Oryza sativa Japonica Group: one gene and its partners. The protein of the gene in region 2 interacts with the protein of the main gene of each other region in a pairwise test. Links are inferred from orthologs where the notes say so. Each region holds a gene or a part of one and is shown on either strand. Other genes may lie near its edges. The genes, in order: mediator of RNA polymerase II transcription subunit 25, transcription factor MYC2-like, protein TIFY 10a and FHA domain-containing protein DDL.

Evidence for each region.
Region 1: the proteins of transcription factor MYC2-like (region 2) and mediator of RNA polymerase II transcription subunit 25 interact in a two-hybrid assay, tested with the Arabidopsis thaliana proteins (2 studies listed by BioGRID, with this or other methods). The link is inferred for Oryza sativa Japonica Group from reciprocal best matches to the Arabidopsis thaliana genes MYC2 and PFT1.
Region 3: the proteins of transcription factor MYC2-like (region 2) and protein TIFY 10a interact in binary tests that used the Arabidopsis thaliana proteins (3 or more experiments, as listed by UniProt). The link is inferred for Oryza sativa Japonica Group from reciprocal best matches to the Arabidopsis thaliana genes MYC2 and TIFY10B.
Region 4: the proteins of transcription factor MYC2-like (region 2) and FHA domain-containing protein DDL interact in binary tests that used the Arabidopsis thaliana proteins (3 or more experiments, as listed by UniProt). The link is inferred for Oryza sativa Japonica Group from reciprocal best matches to the Arabidopsis thaliana genes MYC2 and DDL.

Annotation. Positions count from the first base shown.
Region 1 is NC_089043.1:12,244,278-12,249,099, reverse strand, and holds the start of mediator of RNA polymerase II transcription subunit 25, read right to left. Parts: upstream 3,358-4,822; 5' UTR 3,162-3,357; coding exon 3,052-3,161; intron 1,644-3,051; coding exon 1,613-1,643; intron 1,512-1,612; coding exon 1,448-1,511; intron 1,328-1,447; coding exon 1,197-1,327; intron 1-1,196. UniProt on the Arabidopsis thaliana protein: Component of the Mediator complex, a coactivator involved in the regulated transcription of nearly all RNA polymerase II-dependent genes.
Region 2 is NC_089044.1:23,547,739-23,552,692, reverse strand, and holds transcription factor MYC2-like, read right to left. Parts: upstream 3,338-4,954; 5' UTR 3,223-3,337; coding exon 1,123-3,222; 3' UTR 619-1,122; downstream 1-618.
Region 3 is NC_089037.1:16,853,213-16,858,105, forward strand, and holds protein TIFY 10a, read right to left. Parts: upstream 3,107-4,893; 5' UTR 2,881-3,106; coding exon 2,760-2,880; intron 2,478-2,759; coding exon 2,375-2,477; intron 1,726-2,374; coding exon 1,466-1,725; intron 1,362-1,465; coding exon 1,304-1,361; intron 1,204-1,303; coding exon 1,059-1,203; 3' UTR 696-1,058; downstream 1-695. UniProt on the Arabidopsis thaliana protein: Repressor of jasmonate responses. Jasmonoyl-isoleucine (JA-Ile) specifically promotes COI1-TIFY10B/JAZ2 interaction. Activated by MYC2, MYC3 and MYC4 transcription factors.
Region 4 is NC_089039.1:27,209,978-27,214,776, reverse strand, and holds the start of FHA domain-containing protein DDL, read right to left. Parts: upstream 2,991-4,799; 5' UTR 2,862-2,990; intron 2,715-2,861; 5' UTR 2,708-2,714; coding exon 1,811-2,707; intron 1,209-1,810; coding exon 1,177-1,208; intron 891-1,176; coding exon 824-890; intron 637-823; coding exon 579-636; intron 424-578; coding exon 331-423; intron 1-330. Other genes in the region: probable auxin efflux carrier component 5a, read right to left, coding at 3,431-3,599, 3,688-3,842. UniProt on the Arabidopsis thaliana protein: Involved in the microRNA (miRNA) and short interfering RNA (siRNA) biogenesis. May facilitate DCL1 to access or recognize primary miRNAs. Binds RNA non-specifically.

The DNA of each region.
Region 1 (4,822 bases), on a different chromosome or scaffold from region 2:
TTTTGATTTTTGAAGACTCAGTACCATAGGAAAATTAACATACTAATATAGGTACATTCATAGAATTTAAACTTCTGATCATACTAGTTTCACTCTGCTTATTCTGGGTACTGGCCCAGACATCCAGTTTCCTAATAGGGTTGATCTAATGAAAATCTTCCTTACAAAAATTAACCTAATGAAATGGTGATTACAGTTATACACTCTATTTACTAAGGTAAGGCTATCTGTAGCTGATATCCAGATCAAGACATTTTTTATGAGACAATAGCTGATAAGTGGATGTGCAAACCACCTTAGAATTTTCTCACATGAATCATATGTTGTGCAGAAGGGCATTAAAGGACAGATTCTAGAGAATACTGGAAATAACAATACCAAGACAACAAGCTATAATTCTTGGAAAATAAAGTAATCCAAAAGGTTGGGTAGAACATGTATTGTTAAGTATCATGGTTCTACATAATGTCCAGGCTCAACTAATAGTTTACAGGGCTTACTATGAGAAACAAAATTGTAGATCAACTAATTTAGACAAAACTGGACCCAAATTCAGGTGCAGTGAGAGATGAAAAGAGGTATTTCCCTTCATCTAGGAAATCAAAATATCTCTGTTAATAAGATACCAAACTCTGCCTTTGCTTCAGCATAGCTGGTCCTAACGCTGAGTAAAGGAAGAATGTTGCGATAACATTGGTAAGCCATCATAAAAATCCCAGTCGTTCCTGTGGAGATGAATTATGGTTTTGGATAGAGTTGCATGGAAATTGGCGGTCCACATGCCCAGAATCATGACCTAATTCACGTCTTCTTTAACTATATTGTTATTACTAGTACTATACTTCCCTTAGTTTTTTTGTGGCTGCACATCAGTTTCATCTCTAGCCTACCCCAACTTGCCTGGAACTAAAGGTTGCTACTGTTGATGTTAACATGAAAGATGTGCCATTTGGCAAAAAAGAAACATCATTTCATATGCCAAATGAAGCATGATTGCACAAGCCAAACAAAATGCTAAAACCTTGCACGGGAACTCAAAAGTAGGCAACCATATGCAGTACTGAAATTTTGGAAGTAGTAAGCCACAGTTTCTAATTTATGCATTTTGAACCAAAAAAAAAAAGTACAGGAAACACCAGAGGAAGTCATTATGTGCAAAAAGTGAAAAGAACTGAACGATGCCAATATGTCAATACCATCAATGCTTCAGCAAGACCTTCAGAAATAGCAGCTTCACTAAAGCCTCCACCACTAAATGATATTCCAGATAACCATGAAAGAAACACATTCATATCTTTTGTCCATCCACTCCGTTGCACACAAAAAGCTGCAAGGAATCAAAAGCGAATTATCATAGCTTACATGTTTTGTTGATATAGAACTAAATACAAATAATTGCAATGGATCATAATAAAAAGCTTAGGGCATGGAGGATATCAAACTTTACCGCTATAAGGACCATGGGTATGGAAGACGACTAATGCAAGTTCAGGGGGTGTCCCTGCGAGCTTCTGCATAACACGATAATAATTTACACTTTTGAGTTTTGACACAAGTCAAGGAAACATGGATCAAGTAGTAAGTCCGACGATAAATACTGAGAGCAAATTACCTGTCCTGCCATTTCATGTGCACAAAAACTCCTGCATAAATTGAAATGCTTCATGAATAGTAGTACTAAAAATGCAAAGGTTACTAAGTGCTACAGAAATTGACAAAAATTTCTAGCAAGAGATGAGCTTAAAAGTTTCATGATAGTAAGTATATGAGAGTGAAGCTGTGGTGGATCACCACATAACATCAAAGGCTCCATTTGGATTTTGCGTTGAGGTGGACTATGATAATCCTGTTCCGTACAGTAGCTTATAGAAATTTTGATGTTTGGCTAACTGCTGCTCTTTTAATCAAGTTGCAAATAGAGATATTATTTCAGTTCTAAAAACAGAACACTTGTCAGAGAAATAACAGTTTAAATTGACTAACAGAATTCGTCTAACATTAATTTGATTTCTCAAACAGACTACGAAGTTTTTCTTAACTGTTTCCACAGAAGCTAAATAATAAGCACAGGAGGATAGCAACTGCAAACAAACCCTAATAATTCAGAGCAAACTGATTATTGACCAACAATACAAACAGCTCCCACTTTCATTATTTTTTTTATTTGAAAGGCTTGAACACAAGAAATTTGACTCATGTGATGAATATTCCAATTACACCCATGCGAAACCAGAACATCAACTAATTAACAAGAGTGAAAACAAGGACTTCAGAAAAGCCATAACCATAACCAAACAGACATCCCATCATTACATTACTGGTTGTACAGAAGAGTAGTAAAATCACCAGCCAAAAACTGAAATTGGTTTTCATGGGAATCATTCATCATTCATGAAAAAAAAAACACTAAAATATGCTAGACTGAAGAAAAATACTTCTGAATGAGCAAGGAGGAACTAGAAAAGGCATAAAACCCAAAGTAGAAGATGAATTATGCTACATTCTGTCATAGATCTGCACATATGCAGTGATACAAAGTCTCCTCGAATCAGGAGCAAAAAAAGATGTATCTCGTGCCACAACACCATATAGCCAACAACCAACCAGTTCATCAAGAAACCACGAATTTCCACACATCGATGATGCGCTTGCATTCTTACTCTTTGAATAAGCATTGTGAAACAGAATTGAAGCTAACTAGTACCATTTAATGTTTGCAATTAAGAAGGTGAGAGCAAACAACAAATCTCCAAATCTCCTACTAATGCTTGGAGTGAACGATATATCCGACTAATATAACTAAAAAACTGTGTATATCAAACACATACACGGATAGCTGCTAACTTCCACTATCAAGAACTAACTAGCTACCGCTTCGCGTTCCATGTACTCCCTTCGTCTCAAAATAAACAGCTAAACAATCAACAAAGGGTCCAATTCTTCCACATCAAGAAATCCAAGATGCACTAATCCGCGACGGCCGTACAGTCAACTAGTAACAAGAAAGCAGGGTGGCGCGGCGGGGGGAGGAAAGCACGGGCGCAGCATTACCGCACGATCTTCTCGACGTAGTCCGCCACGGTGACGGGCCAGTACGGCCCCAGCGCCGCCGTCCCCTCCACGGCCACCACCAGCTGCCTCTCGGCCGCCGCCGCCGCCATCCCCCCGACGGCCGCCCCCGCCGCCGCCGCACCCGGCGCCACCCTGCCGACTCCCCGAATCACCGCCTCTCGAGCTCCCCTCCCTCCCGCGAAATCAATCTCCCCCGCACCAACGACTTCTCCCTCCCTCCCTTCCTTGCCGGAATTTCTCTTCTTCTTCTTCTTGTTAGGTTTCGTGAGGTTAGAGAGAGATGACGGCGAAGGGGTGGGGTACTGGGGTCTAATTTATATGGGCCCCAAGGCCCATAAGAAGAAAGGTGGGCTTTTGTGTGGATGACAGGTGGGGCCATAGGGGAATATGGGGAAATTTTGGTGTAAAAAAGAGTTGTATTGTTCTTTTATGGTGTTTAGTAAATGTAATAATAATGGTACTCTATAGTTGGGAAGAATTGTGAGCATTTATTACTTTCTTAGTATACATCAGGTTAGTTTTGAGTGTAGCCTTTCGGCTAAACTAAGGGTATTTTTAGGAGGTACTCCCTCCGTCCCATAATATAAGGGATTTTGAGTTTTTATTTGCACTGTTTGACCACTCGTCTTATTAAAAAAATTTGGAATTATTATTTATTTTTTGTGTGACTTACTTTATTATTCAAAGTATTTTAAGCACAACTTTTCGTTTTTTATATTTGCACAATTTTTTTAAATAAGATGAGTGGTCAAACAATGCAAATAAAAACTCAAAATCCCTTATATTATGGAATGGAGGGAGTAACTAAGAATCGGGTGCCCGATTTTCAAGAGAAAAATCGGGTGCCCCCCTCCTGCACCTCCTGCGTGTGCTGCTCTCTACATATTCGTTGCATGCATCATGCATGTCAACTACTTCATCCGTCTCAGAATATAGCAACCACGGAGGGAGTATTTCCTTGCCTCATCTCTGCGTGTGTTGCACCCTACATATTTGTTGCATGCAGCATGTATGTCAACTACTTCCTTGCCTCATATCAGCTACATGCAATATTCCATAATTCCCTATCTCTCATCTCTCCATACAAATCTTGCTTTTCTTAACACACTTTAAATGTTTTTTCTCTTAAATTATTAATCCAATCTATAATATGATTGCACCGTTGTATTTCTTGTAATTCAAATCTTTACAAACAAGATCTCACATATAAAAAAAATTAATGATGTTTCACCACTTATAAAAAATTGTTTCAATTCGCTAAAAAAATGTTCCAGATAAATGCAACATTCAAAATATAATGACTGCAATATCATCAACCTCTGCACGAAACATCAAGTCCCAACCAGTGAACTCATATAAAGACTCGTACGAAATAAACGATATACTTATATGGATATTGTTAAAACACATTTATATTTGTTGACGGTCGTTAGTGATCAGTTTCGTCCGTCAACACTACTTAAATAAAAGAGAACTAGTTATGCTTGCAATGCATATTTATGTCAAAATAATAAATATTCCACTGGCACTAGGATTACTAACCTCTTGCAGAGAATGAACACTAAGTGGAGAAGAATCGACATCAAAACAAGTGATCATTCAATCAGACAATGTCGAGAATCAGACCTATCAATGAATAGGTCAAGAATGCAAAAATGACATGACCAATTGGGCCAAAATTCACAAGTCTGAAGTGAGCAACAGAAGACGAGGCCGCTAGCCGAAAATGGGTCGGCCCCTGGTTCGGCCG
Region 2 (4,954 bases):
TATACCTAAATAATAAATTAAATTAATAATAAACCACCTCAATAGTATATCTACATAGGTATCTATAGCTATCTAATGCATTGCCTCGTTTTTCTATAGACTATCTTCAAGTTAGTAGATAGATTTGCTCTCTCTCTTCATTTAATCTCTTCCATATAGGAAAATATGCTGACATGGGTATCTTGTAGAGAGCATATAGATAACCATTGCGGGTGCCCTAAACCTAGCTTTGATGATCTATCATTCACACGCACATCCAGCTTTGTTTTGGTCTGTTTCGTTTTTGTGCTGCCAAGCCAAGAAGAGCAGCTCCTACTTTGCTTTTTGCTTGCTTCTCAGTTCTCCCTCGGTCGCTAATCGTACTGTGCTACTGCCTGTTTGTGATGGCGAGATCTACCCACCCAACTCACATGTGCTGCAAGACCATGTCCCCATCATGTGTGTGCAGGTCGTCTTCTCCGTGCTGCTCTCCGTTGAAGAAGAGATGGATCATTACGGGCTATGGCAGGACATGAACAGGATGAATAACTATCCATCCAACCAACCAACCACCATTCCTCCTCATCTCCTTGCTTGCAGTTGCTAAACATTAAAGTGCTGATGAGATAATAGAGTTGATTGATCAAGCAAAAAAAGAGCATATCCATTGCATTTTTTATTTTTTTTACGAGATCAAAAACACCACAACATGTTGTATTCCTTCCTTCCTCCCTTGTTCATTGGCATGATGATGGTACAATACCAAATCCTATATACAAAGTCTATCATATTTAGGTTTAGTAATTAACAAGGACCAACATATCGCCGATGATTTCTTTCCTCCCTTCCTTCCTTCCTGCTAACAAAGAAAGGAAGAAAAGAAATACCAACCGCTGCTATCAGTATCAAAAACAAGACGACGATCAGCAGCAGCAGCTTCAGCTTGAGTTGCGAGTTGATATCAATCATCCTCTCCATCCATCCATCCATCCTAACACAGATCTTTAAACTTAATTTTACAACAACAACATGATTTGATCATCGTCTCGTCGTCTTCTTGGCATTCCTGAAGCTCTGGCCATGGCTACGCCGGCTTGGGGAGAGTAGAGAGTATATCGATTGGGTTTCCTCGCTAGAGTTGAGTTACCGGGCGGCGGTGCCAGGCTCGGCGATGCGGGTGTAGAGCGCGGCGTTGAGCTGGTCCTGCGAGTAGACGCGGCTGGCCATCTTGACGGCCACCTGCTGGATCATGAGGTCCTTGACCACGGAGACGCTGGCATGGTACACGTCCAGGTCCAGCTCCCGCAGCGCCGTCATCAGCCGCGCCGCCGGGTGGTTCCGCTTGTGGCACTGCACGCGGATCATGGCCTCCAGCCCAAGGATCTTGGCCTCGATCTCCACCGCGTGGCACCGCGCCCCGCCGTCTCCGCCGCCGCCCGACGGCGCCGGCGGCCGCGCGTCCCGCTCCTTCTTGAGCGACTCCATCTGCGACTGCAGCGTCTCCTTGTCCGTCTCCAGCGCCGTGAGCTTCCCCCGGAGCTCGTTGATGTAGGAGATGGCGTCGCCCAGCAGCGACGCCTTGTCCATCTTGGACACGTTGGGCACCACGGCGCGCAGCGCGTAGAAGCGCTGGTTGAGCTTCTCCCGCCGCTGCCGCTCCGCCTCCACGTGGTTCAGCGGCTCCTCCCGCCCGTTCGCCGGCTTCCGCCCGCGCTTCCGCGGCCGCTTCTCCGCCTCCGGCGGCGGCGCCACCACGCGGCTGCTCTCCACCTCCCGCACCGACGCCTCCAGGTCCGAGTGGTCCGACTCCGACTTGGCCGGGGCGCCCGTCCCCGTCGACGGCCGCGTCGTCGGCGCCGACGAGAAGGACAGCATCCCCTCGTTCGCCGTCGCCGCCGGGTGGTTGTTGGTGTTGCTGGCGCGGGAGGTGGCCTCCATGGACCTCTTCTGGTTGTTGCTCTTGGCGTCGTTCGCCGCCGCCGTCAGCGTCGGCGTGTGCTGCGAGAACAGGCTCCCCGGCGCGGTGGTGAGGCTGGCGGTGGCGGCCGGGGGCGCCGGCGACGGATTCCTCCGGCCACTGCTGCTGTCGTTGCCGAAGTTTAGGATCTCGCCGGTCTCGGGCTTGAAGAAAGGCGGGGCCGCGGCGCCGCCGTTGGACGCGAAGTCGGAGAAGTTGAGCTCCCGGCGGAAGGGGCCCTGCTGAGCCTGGCTGCTCTGCTGCTGCTGCTGCTGCCGCTGGGGCGGCGCGGCCGGCTGCGAGGGCGTCGGCGCGTGCACCGACGGGCTGGGATTCTCCGTGAGCGTGCTGGTGCTCCCGTTCTCGAAGTGCTGGATCTGGTGCGGCGGCGGGGGTGGTGGCTTGGAGACGGAGATGTCTGCGGCGGAGATGGAGTCCTTCATGTCCATGGGGGGCGCGTCGGCGAGCCAGAGCACGGAGGGATCGGCGGAGGCGGCGTCGGGGTGGGGGGGCCAGGAGGAGGCGGCGGCGGCGCTGAGGTTGAAGAGGGCGCGGATCCTGGGGATGCTGTCCCCGGTCTGGAAGATGACGTCGGTGGAGCCGAGCTCGAGGACGCCGGTGGCGAGGGGGAGGCAGACCATGGTGCGGAGGCCGAAGGTGTAGGCCTGCCTGGCGCGGTCACAGGGGGCGGAGGACAAGCCGGTGGCGATCCAGGTGGGCTGGGCGGCGAAGAGGGCCTGGCCGGGGAGGCCGAGGCCGTTGGGGAAGGACTGGGTCATGGAGACGAGGAAGAACCACTCGGTGTCGGTGACCTCCTCCTCGACGGCCTCGTCGGGGGCGGCGCCTGCGCCGGCGATGAGGGAGTTGAGCTCGCGGAGGACGCGCTTGCGGTGCTCCTGCTCGGCGGCGGCGGCGGGGGTGGAGGAGCGCTGCTTGCGCTTGTCGTCGTCGCAGCCCTTGTAGTAGCCGTCGCCCCAGCCGAGGAGGGAGGCGCCGGTGGAGACGTCGATGGAGGACTGCCAGAAGATGGCGTACGTCCACGTCTCCCGAGACCCCTCGATGATCGACTGCAGCCGCTGCTGCAGCGTGTCCTGGTTGAACGCCGCCGCCGCCGGAGCTGCTGCAGGCGGCGGCAGGACCTGCTGCTGCTGCTGTTGGTGGTGGTGGTGAGGCGGCGGCGGCGGCGGCGGCGGGGTGGAGGCCGCCCCCCACGGGAAGGCCGGGAGGTCGGCGGAGGCCATGAACGCCTCCATCATCGACGCGTTGTCGTCCGTCCAAAGGTTCATCGATTTGATCTCGATTTCTTCTTCTTCTAGATTTGATTTGATTTGGAAGAGGACTCCTACAAGAGAAGAAGAGAATAGGAGGAGAGGAAAGGTGGGGATGGGTATGGGGTGGAATGGATTTTTGGTGGTGAGGAGAGGAGATAACAAAACCCACATGGGTCCCATGGCTAATCACTCAAATCAAATCATATTTAGTGTCCAGGGGTATTTTCGGTATTATCACTCCTCCTATGTCTACACTCCTAATTAGCGATCATTCGCGCGTCCGCCAGCCGCACCATCACCGCTTCACTCATCTTCCTTTTTTTAGCCATACCATGTTAAATCGCCCGCAATTCCTATTTTTCGCTATCAACGTGTGGTATGCATGTTTCCACACAAATCATGCATATGCGCATCATTCCGTGATTAGCCTCCACGATTTGTATACTGCAAATAATAAAGTACAGTATATACTAATTTTCTTTTCAGCCTCCCTGAAATAACGAGTATTTATACATAATAAAGTTTATAAATAGAAAGTTTGCATGCATTTTGTATATCGTGAATTTATATATAGACCTTTATTTAAAAAAACAGAAGGTTTTTTAAATAAATTTTTTTTATAATTATCTTAAAAAAATTTATAAAAGATTTTGACATCTTTAGGATGAATTTATCTAGTATAATTTATAGTAAAAATAGTTATAAAATAATGATAATCTAAAAATATATATTAAAAAATAGAATTTGAAAGAGCGATTTTCGGATCATCGGTGCGCTCACATGGTGGCTTGGGCCTATGGGATCGCTCGCCTAGCCGCCGCAACCACCCTCCTATCTCCTGTTTGTGTAACCTCCCTCCGGGTAATCAGCCTCCGCTCTCGCTCGATCCCACATGTCAGCGTCCTCCCCTCCATACCATGCTCTCTCTCCCTGCTTTCCTCTCGTGGGAAGTGTTTTACGATCCCTTATCTTTGTAGATTTTACATTACATGTTAGGAGGCAGTGGTGGAGCATATGTTTCGCTCGATCCGAATTTTGACAATGTTTTATACTACTACTAAATCTTTTTAGGACTTTGTGGATCACATCGTATTCCTTTGAAGAAAAATATAAAATCACGTGTGCTTCTCCCAGAAGGTTCATGCGGTCCTATGGTTAAGTTTAAGACGAATTCTATCATTATCAAGAGTTACTCAAGCCTTAAGGCTATTTTCCCCTTCCTTAACTTGCGGGCAGTTTTGTACTATTGTCATAAAAAAAAGATCAATTGACTGACAGCAATGTTATTTTCATAAGAGCAAGTTTCATAAGTATAACTCACTGCTACCTGTTACTCCATCCGTTTTAAATTGATCATCATATAATTTTATTGATGTTATTTCTAAATGATATCATATTTGCATTCATTCATTAAGTATATTCGTTTTTGTGCATTAGAGTAAATGGATATTGATTTATGCATCTAAGAATAATGGGGATGATGCATACACCAAGTTTGTTACTGGAGTAAATATAGGACGAGAGAAGCTTCCTTTGGTCTTGGTACATCTACGTAAGATGATGATCAATTTGAAATGGAAAAAATAGTCCATATTAAAAGTTAAAACCAACACATATAATAGATTAGTTATAAGGTTATAGCTTTAATTTTTCTCTTTGTCTTTATCTCAATGATACATTTAATGTATTTGTGTTAGGGCACGTGTTAGAACTATCTCTTGTATGAGAGCTAACCTTTTTTTTTCTA
Region 3 (4,893 bases), on a different chromosome or scaffold from region 2:
TCTTCATTTCCGAACGTGAGCTTTACTCTAATGTACGTGGATCGTCCACTGTTTGTCCGGCAGAACCCGGTTTGGTCCCGGTTTTAAAATGCGCAGAACATGCAGTTTTTCTTCAATGTCACCAAAATGATTTTATTTTTTTTTCTCTTTTCCCTTGGAGAAAAAAAAATGGAGAGTCATTTCATCCCAAAAAAATAATTTTTAAAAAATTCCGACCATGGGCTGCTGCTGAATGTAGCCGGAGAGCGACGTGCGCATTTTTGCGTGTTCCCCGGACGCCCTGCCGTTGCCGCGTTATACATCACTTTCTTCTCCTTTTCTTTTATCTTTATCTTTATCTTTTTTTTTTCTCTATTCATTTGTGCAAGTGGCAGATGCTGCCTCTGAGTCAAAACACGTTTTCTTCCTGTGTTGGACGGAGTATGCACAAGTGTGTGTGTGTGCGTGCCTCGTCTCCATCAAGTTTTCAGGTCGTGCAAGAGCCAAGAGCCACAATTCTCTCTCTCTCTCTCTCTCTCTCTCTCTCTGAGCTGTCTGTCTTCTAACCTCTGAGGCCAAGCAAAGGCTTGCAAATCATGGTACACTAGTACTACTCAGCATGTCCAAATAACATTCTAGTTTCTGAATAGAGCTTCAAAATTCATACAAGAATGCATGTTGGAAACAGCAAAAGGAGATGCATCCTGTTAATGGGGGGGGGGGGGGGAAACAGGCGTAAGTGAATAACAATCAATCTTGTGATGTGTATATATTAGCAGTACATTTGCTTTGCTTCTACATGGCAATGCCAAAGCAAAACGATATTGAATTGGTACAAATGAGGTTTCTTGGGTTGTACTGATTACAGAATCTTCTGCTTTCTATCATAGCAATTTGATTCAGATTACTGGTCATAATCATCAGCTACTTTCTTTACATTCAATCCTAGTATATATATCAGAAGAACATCGCCTTGTCATCGGATCATCTCCTAACACAAAACACCCAATTCAAGAGTTGTGATAACCTCTATGACTGAATCATCTGATGAGAGGGGCATCTCAGAATTGAGCATTGATTCATTGGCTCGATTCCTGCCGCAAGCTCAGGTCGGGAGCGGCAACCTGAGGTCCTAACCCAAGCCATGGCTGACTCTCCTGCAGCTCCTTCTTGACCGGAGAAGCATCTGAAGGGGAACCCTGGTAGGGTGCTTTAGCCTGAAGGCTGAAATAAAGGAGCAGCAAAAGTTAGATCCAAAATCTAGAATTGTGAATTGTAGAATTTGACTATACTTTGTGCTGCCATGATAGCAAGCATAACCTACCGATCCTTTCTTTTCTCGAGGAACCGGTGAAGCGACGCCTTCCTAGCCTGAGGCAGATCTGCAGGATTTGAAGAACAGTTAGTACAATAAAATGGATTCACATGCTACAAGTATATTCCATCATTCAGAGCAAGCAATAACAGCCGAGGTTAGAGTAGTTACCAGCAGCATTTGGACGAACAGGTTTCGGGGCATTGGCCTGAGCAACAGGAAGTGCACTTGCTGGGGCTGGTACAGCAGACACCTTAGTGTTGTCGGCAACGGTTGCAGTAGCGGAAGATGGAAGAAGGACACAGTTCTGCGCTGTGGAGGAACTCTTGCTGGCCATCTGCATCAGGTCCTTGGCCTTCTCAGCTGGGAAGTCATCAAACACCAGGACCTTCCCACCGTAGAAGATGGTTAATTGGCGCTTCTCTTGCTCCCTGACAACGGAAATACAAGAAAGCTTAGACAAACACAACCATTTAACCAATTTTAAAGCTTACACAACAGAAACTATTTACTAACTGATATCGGTCAGCAAGCACCCGCCATCTACGCATATGTTCAGAAGAATAACTTGTAGTAAGTACCAACTAATATTTGGGTTTTTTGTTCATGAATCACTCGAGTCAGAACATTTTCACTTTCGGATCGTGCGAGCCCACTAAGTCTGAAACCCGTGGTTATTAGTTGCGAGACATACATCGTTGACTCGCACAAAAAACGACTCGCACAAAAAACAGAAGAAGGAACTGCAGACTTGCATAGCACCAGTTCTATATTGGATTAAATATCGAACCTTTCCATCACACCGAAATCCATCCCTAGAACTCTAAACTAAATTATATCCATTTTACACACGAATTAGATTTCAGACCATGACCCGAGAGCTGACCAGCTCAGCTCCTGGCAGCACTAAGATCTGGTCAGGACAAGGCAAGATGTTCTCCTCCTCCTCCACACTACCTACCAACCACTACTTTGTTTGGTTGGATTGTTGCTATTGGTTTCTCCTATCATGTGACTACAGCTAAAGGAACCGTATGAACTGATAGCTGAAGCAATTCGAACAAAGATTGTGTTGAGTACCTCGCATCCGGGGTCTCCTTCACGGCAGCAGCTTCAGAGCCGAACCCGGAATTCTGGGGGAACAGCTCCATGGTCTCCTTCCCCTTGTTCGCATCGGCTTCACCTGAAAAATGATATGACATAGTTTTTCAGCCCAGATTCACAACATCAGATTTAAAAAAAATGTTGCGAATTTTACAGCTAGCTAGATGCGCAGAATTGGAATGGTTGAGACTGGTTTAAGCCGAATAAAATTCTACATGGGGGAATTCTCGCTTCCAAAGCTCGAAGAACTAGACCAGATCTCACGGAAACCTTCCTAGGGGAGGTTTTTTTCACCCAAAACCCGTAAAGATAAAGATCCAGACTTTGCAGAAGGAAAAAAAGAAAAAGAAAGGGAGGTGACCTCTGATGCCGAGGCCGAGCTCGCCGGCGGCTGCGCCGTTCTGCCTGACGTAGCGGCTGAGCAGGCTGCAGGCCATGGCGAAGCTGCTGCTCCCCCTCTCCCCGGATTTCGCGGAAGCCATCTTCTTCTTCTTCTTCTGCCCACAAGCTGAATCCTTTTCTCCGAACGGAGTCACGGACCCCCGAAATCCTCCCGCTTCGATTCGATTCGATCGAGTCTTCTCCTCTGGTCGCGGTTGCGGGTTGCTCGTCCTTGTCTGTCTCTGAGTTGTCTTCCTCCTCCGTCCGGCGGTTCAGGTTCTATATAAGGGACGCACGAGACTAACAATAACAATAATGGTGGGGATTATCTTTAAGACGAAAAAGTTTCGATTTTTGTAATCGCAAGTTGCGAGGGAAAAAAAAAAGTTAGTTTGGGTGTTGGTGCCTTTGTTTGAGCACGTGATTGTTGTGGAGATTGGCAAGGTGCGCAGATTCCTATTCTCTCGTTATCTTTTTCCTGGTTTGTGTTTACTGTGTGCCGGTGTGGTATGCCGTGACGTTAGGTTTGATTGGATGCAACGTGGCCGACAAAGGAGTGGGGCCCTTCGTCCTAAAATGCATAACCTTCCGTACCAGAAAAAACCAATCCTACCTACCAATCTGGATATATATATGTGTTCAGGTTCGTAGCTATGAATTCGTTCTTTTGGATGGAGTAGTACTTCCTTCCTCATCTCAAGATACTGTCTCCATTCTAAAATATAAGAATATAAGACTCTATTATCATCTCATAGTTTAGATCATCCAAATAACTATAATGTATGCACCAATAGAATTAAAAGAGAATATATTCTATACCATTAAGTTTGTTCGAGTTCAACGATTTGCCATCGACATTATCTCTTTTTATAATATACCAGTAACTTTATCAATTCTTCTACAATATGTCATTGGGTTGGGCCTTCTTTTCAAATATATCCAAAATACCCTTACGAACATACAAGATTAACAATTGATTTATCTCATCTAAAGTTTTAAAAAAATATGAAAACTTTGTAGTGGCCTCCTTACACAATATGGAAGTTTGTATACAAGTTTGAAATTTTTTTATGGTATATTTAGATTTTAGAAAAAATATTTTTATGTGGTATATGATAGAGAATTTGCTTACGCAAGAGATAATATCATAAAAATATCTTATGCATTGTATGAAAGATGATTTATATTAAAACAACAATAAAAAGTATTTTATATAGCATATAATAGATAAGTTATATTTTTTAAAAAATAGAAATATAAAAACTCGAAACTTCTATACAAATTTCCATGTTATGCAAGGAGGTCACATAAAATTTTTTATATTTTTTAAACTCCTAATGAGATAAATCAATTGTTAATCTTATATGTCCATAAGAGGAATTTGGGTACTTTTGAAAAGAAGACATATCCCAATGGCGTATTGATGAACGATTGATAAAGTCGTTGGTATATAATATAAATCGACAATGTCGATGGTAAATCGTTGAACTCGAACAAACTCAATTGTATAGAATAGATTCTCTCTAGGATTAAAGATTTTGAGGATGGAGGATTTAAAAAAAAATCATAGTGCGAAAGATGTGCTAGTTAATGGCATGCATTCATGCATGCCTTATATTATGAAACATCTAAAAAATAGTTGTGCCTTATATTATGAAATGAATGGAATACTAGCACTTACTCTCTCCGACCCAATATAAGTGCAACCTAGTACATATATGGTATATCCTAATACTACGAATCTGAACAATTGTCTGCACAGATTCGTAATCCTAATATATGTCATATTTGTACTAGGTTGCACTCATATTAGGACGAAAGGGCTGTCTAAATTCGTATTATTAGAATATGTCATATACTAGATTGCACTTATATTAGGATGGAGGGAGTACAATTTAGGGAGGGGGAGGGGGGTGTTTGGTTACCAGCAACACTTTGCCATAGTTTGTTACGCCCAATGTTAGCCGGGCTGGACCATATTGGCAATTGTTTGGTTGTAGGCACAATTGTGTCAAGATTCTTTTCCAACAAATTGGACTCCACACGTCTTTGACTCAAAAAAGTGTGGCAAGATTCCCTTAGGCCTGCTAAGGTGTGGCCAAGAATTTGATCGT
Region 4 (4,799 bases), on a different chromosome or scaffold from region 2:
CACTCGTTAGTGCCTTTGCTCACGTTAAATGGTTCGTTCCAAAACTCTCCGAAATTAAGCTAGTTCGAAAATGTTTTTATGTTCCATACTCGCTTCATCACAGTCAGTTAAGCTTACTGCTTTTAACAGAACCTACTTTTGGTTTGGCCATGTTGGGAAGGGAAATAGAGAAACAGCTGTTGAACTAGACAAGAACATGCCTCTACAGACTGGCAAATCCAAAAAATGTTTTTTTCTTCTATTTATTAAAAACTATTAACTCGAACAGATAGCATGACAAAAGGAAAAAAGTTAGCTTCATATATAGAGTAACAAGTCAAGAATAACTACCTTCGAGTGGTTCACCACCCTTGAAGACGTAGAGTCTCCATCTAATATCTGACTTGCGAGCCTCTGGAGGTTCTGAATGCAACAGATTTACACCTGAAATGGAAGTAAATTGCAAACTCTGAGGACAATGCAATACAGCAAAGAACAAGGAATTACAAATTCTCATTGGTGGTTAAACAAACATTAATGTAAAGTGTAACATTTAGGTTCATGACCAAAAAGAAAGATATAGGGCTTCAAAACAGCACCTGCAACTCTGTTAGTCTCCTCAGCAAGCTTTCCAGACAATTCAAATGATGGTTTTTGCTGCAAAACACCAATGAAATTATTAAAATACTAGTGTATGACAAATGAAGAGAAAGGTTAAATAAAAAGAAAGCTGACATGGCAAGTATTTTGTATCTGCGAAAACAGCAAGCATCATATAAATAAACTGTACACAACAAAAGGAAGATTGTTATTATTTTAAATTTCATCATGGAGTATGCCCTACCTTTTCTTTTGCTTCCAGAGCTTCTGCAGTAGCATTCATCTTCACCAAAGAATCAGGATCAACACTCCTGGCCAAAATAGTATCAAATATAATATTTTCAGTTCTAAAATTTCAGGTACAAAAACATTGCGCTCATGTAGCTGGTCAAATATACATTTGTTTGTTTTAGGTACTACTGCTACAGTTGCTTAACGGATATGCTGATATGCATCAAAAGTTCAAAACCATTCCAGCAAGAGGGTATGACACCCATAACACGCGTAGCCCCATTGATACAACAAGAAAACAATTGCAAGCAATGCTTCTACTAAAAATTTACAATTCGTATTGAATATAGAGTTTTGCATGCTTACCGTGACGCTGCATCTGTTACAGAGCTTGTATCCTGAAATAAATCAAAACAAAGTTTAGGTTGCAACTAACGGGCCATATATGATAGCAAACATGAAAAGAAACCAAATTGGTATGAAATGAAAAGGATAGCGGGCAACTAATTATATCCTCTAGAATCTGAACTCTGAAGCAAGAAGGGTTTACATGGAATACAGACCCACAAGTTTAGTGTCAACAATGCTGATAACAAGGCGTACTCCCTCTGTACTCGTAAAGGAAGTCGTTTTGGACAGCGACACGGTCTCCAAAACATAACTTTGACTTCTTGTTTCTATAAAAATATTTAATGAAAAGTGATATATGTATACTTTTATAAAAGTATTTTTCAAGACAAATCTATTCGTATAATTTTTACATTTTCAAACTCAACTTGAGAGTTATTCATGATTTATATTCCCAAGGTTTGACTTAAACATTGTCCTAAACTACTTCCTTTACAAGTACGGAGGTAGTAATTTTTTTTCACTTCTATTCATTTGGGTGCAGGTTATCAGACAAAGAACAGAAACAAGGGACAATCATGAAACAAAAGAACACACTACGCCAACTAACAGGTGGATATGTATAAGAAAAGGGTCAGATATCATTACACACCTCACCATGTGCTGCACTTCTAGATGACCTCGGTGACTGGCGGGATTCACGTCTACCCCTATGCCTATGCTCTTCTGGAGACACTGATCGCCCACGCCTAGATGATCTCCCTGATTCACCATTGCTCTCATCCCGGTCTGCCCTTCTCTCTCTTGCAGAATCCCTTCTATCATCATGATCTGCCCTTTGCTCCCTGGAATTGACTTTTCGATCATCCCCATCAGACCTTCTACCCCTTGAATCACGCCTTTCATCATCTCGGCTTGACCATGTCTCCCTTGAAGCACCCGACCGATCAGACCTTCTATCTCTTGAGTGATCCCTATCATCATCATGATCCAGTTTCCTGTCCTTAAAAGAGCCCCTACTATCCTCCCTCTCAGTCTTTCTATCCCTTGACACATCCTTTCCCTCATCACGCTCCCTGTACCTCCCCGAGTCCCGCTCTTCCCTGCTGGTGGTCTTCCGACGGTCACCCTCAGTAGCATCTGCACCTTCCCGCTCACTCTGAGCCCTTCTCAATCGTTTGCTCCGTGGTGAGGGCGACCGAGACTCCCGTTTCCTGGCAGGTGACGGAGACCGTGACCGTGACTGAGCTTGTTTCGGCGACCTGACCTGCTCCTTCACCCTATCTCTCTGTGGCGACCTCCCAATACTCCTAACAGGAGACCTCCTAGGTGAGCCATTCCTCCGAACAGGCGACCTCTCCCTATGTGAGCTAGTAGTCTTAACAGGAGACCTCCTCCTAGGCGAGCGACTCCTCGGAGCCGGTGACCTCTCCCTCCGAGCAGGCGGGCTCCGCCTGCGCGGCGGCGAGCCACGGTCCCTCGCCGGCGAGCGCGACCTCGAGCGCCCCGACCTCCGCGAATGCTCCCTCCGCTCCACCGCCGAAGCCATTCCCCACCTGGAGCAGCATCACCCCCAAACCAAACCGATTCAGAACAGCACTACGAAGAAAAATCGCGGAATCGCTAGGGTTTTGTGCGGCCTCAGTCCGAGGAGCCGCCAAAAAAAAAAAGAGGGAGGGAGGGAGGGAGGAAGGGGAGCGTACCGGGTGCGGCGGAAGCGGATGCGGAGTCGTCGGCGGCGAGGTTATCGCCGGTGGCGACCGGCCAGCGGCGACCGCGAACCGAGGGTTTCTTCTCTGTGAGGGCTCGGCTTCAGAGAACAATCCGGAACCGGAGGCGGAGTCCGGGAAGGCTGTACAATATCAAGACGACCGCGAAAGCCCAATAGAGAGCCCAAGTTGCTAAGCGACGGCGGCCCAGTTAGATGAGGGCCCATATGGAAGACTCTGTGGTGGCCCATAGGGAATAAGTTCATCTAGGGTCCCTTAACTTGTCAAGGAATCCGATTTTCGTCCTTCAACCGTAAAACCAGATACTATGGGTCCCTGAACTATCAAAACCGATGCATATTAGGTCCCTCGGCGGTTTCGATGGTGGTTTTGGCTGACGTGGCACCTACGTGGCTAATTTGACTCGATCACGATCTGACGTGGCACTGATGTGGCAATTTGATCCGGAAAAATAATAAATTCCGTGGGACCTAAATATCAGTTTCACACACAAATTAATAAAAGAATGGCGGGGTCCACGTGACCCCACATGTCAGTCAAAATCACCCCTCCTCTTCTGCTTCCGGCTTGCCGCTCGCCGCGACGACGACGACGACCGTGGATGCGGCGCCGGCGCTGGCCTCGACGTCCTTGCTGGCCGGCGTCGTCGTCGTCGACGACGACTCGTCGGAGGACGAGGTGCCGTCGACGTACATCCCGATGGCGGCCTTCCTGACCTCGAGCACGAACAGCAGCAGTGTGAGCCAGACGATGGCCTAGAAGACGGAGAGCTGGACAACGAGCTGCTGCGCCCCCTCACCGTACATGGAAGGCCGTGAAGATCGAGAGGGCAACGGCCATGAACCACCAGCTCCACCGCTGCTTTGTATCCACGAGCACCGGCACCAATTGCGGGTCCCACGCCAGCCGCCGGGTCTGCTCCTCCGCCTGCCGGCACGCGTCGTTGTCGGGCATCAGGAACTGGATCAGCAGGAGGTCCAGCGACTGCGCCGTCCCTCCCTGTTGCCAGCGGCAGCTTCCTCCTCCCTTTACCTTGCTGCAATCGCCCGGCACCGGCGGCGGGGGTGAGCAGGCAGCAACCACCCGCCGGCGCTACCCGCCTCCGCGCCGTCTCGCCGTCACCGACACCGCCCGCGCCGGCGGAGGCGTTCGGGTCCGATGCCCTCAAGGAGACTTTCTCCGTTGACGTGGTGGCGGCCGAGGCGCGGCCGCTGAACGTGCCCCTGGCCGCGCCCTTCACCATCGCGTCGTCGCGGCTGGAGACCGTGTCCTACGTCGCCGTTCGGGTGGAGCTCCGCAGCGGCGCGGTCGAGTGGGGGGAGGCGCCTGTGCTGCCCTCCGTCACCGCCGAGGACCAGCCCGGCCGCCTTTGGTGCCCATCCCATCCGCATCTGGCGCAAGAGAGATGAAGAGAGGGGAGCTGGGGAGAGGAGGAAGATGGGAAGGGGTGAGTTAGCCTGACATGTGGGGCCCACATGGGTCCCATTGTTTTTTATTCTTTTGTGTGAAACTGACACGTGGGTCCCATAGGTTTTATTTTTTTTCTGGATCAAATTGCCACGTAAGCGCCACGTCAATGCCACATCAGATGAAGACCGAGTTAAACTAGCCACGTAGACGCCACGTCAGCCAAAACCGCCATCGAAACCGCCGAGGGACCTAATCCGCACCGGTTTTGATAGTTCAGGGACCCATTGTACCTGGTTTTATGGTTGAAGGATGAAAATCGGATTCGTTGACAAGTTAAGGGACCTAAGATGAACTTATTCCCACCCCCATAATTTTGAAGAGGAAAAAGTTCACTTTGGGTCCCTCTATTTGTCGCCCCGTCCGATTTTCGTCCCTTGACCGCAAAACCGGGTACTACCCATCCCCCAACTTACGAAACCGGGCAAACAAGGTCCCTCGGTG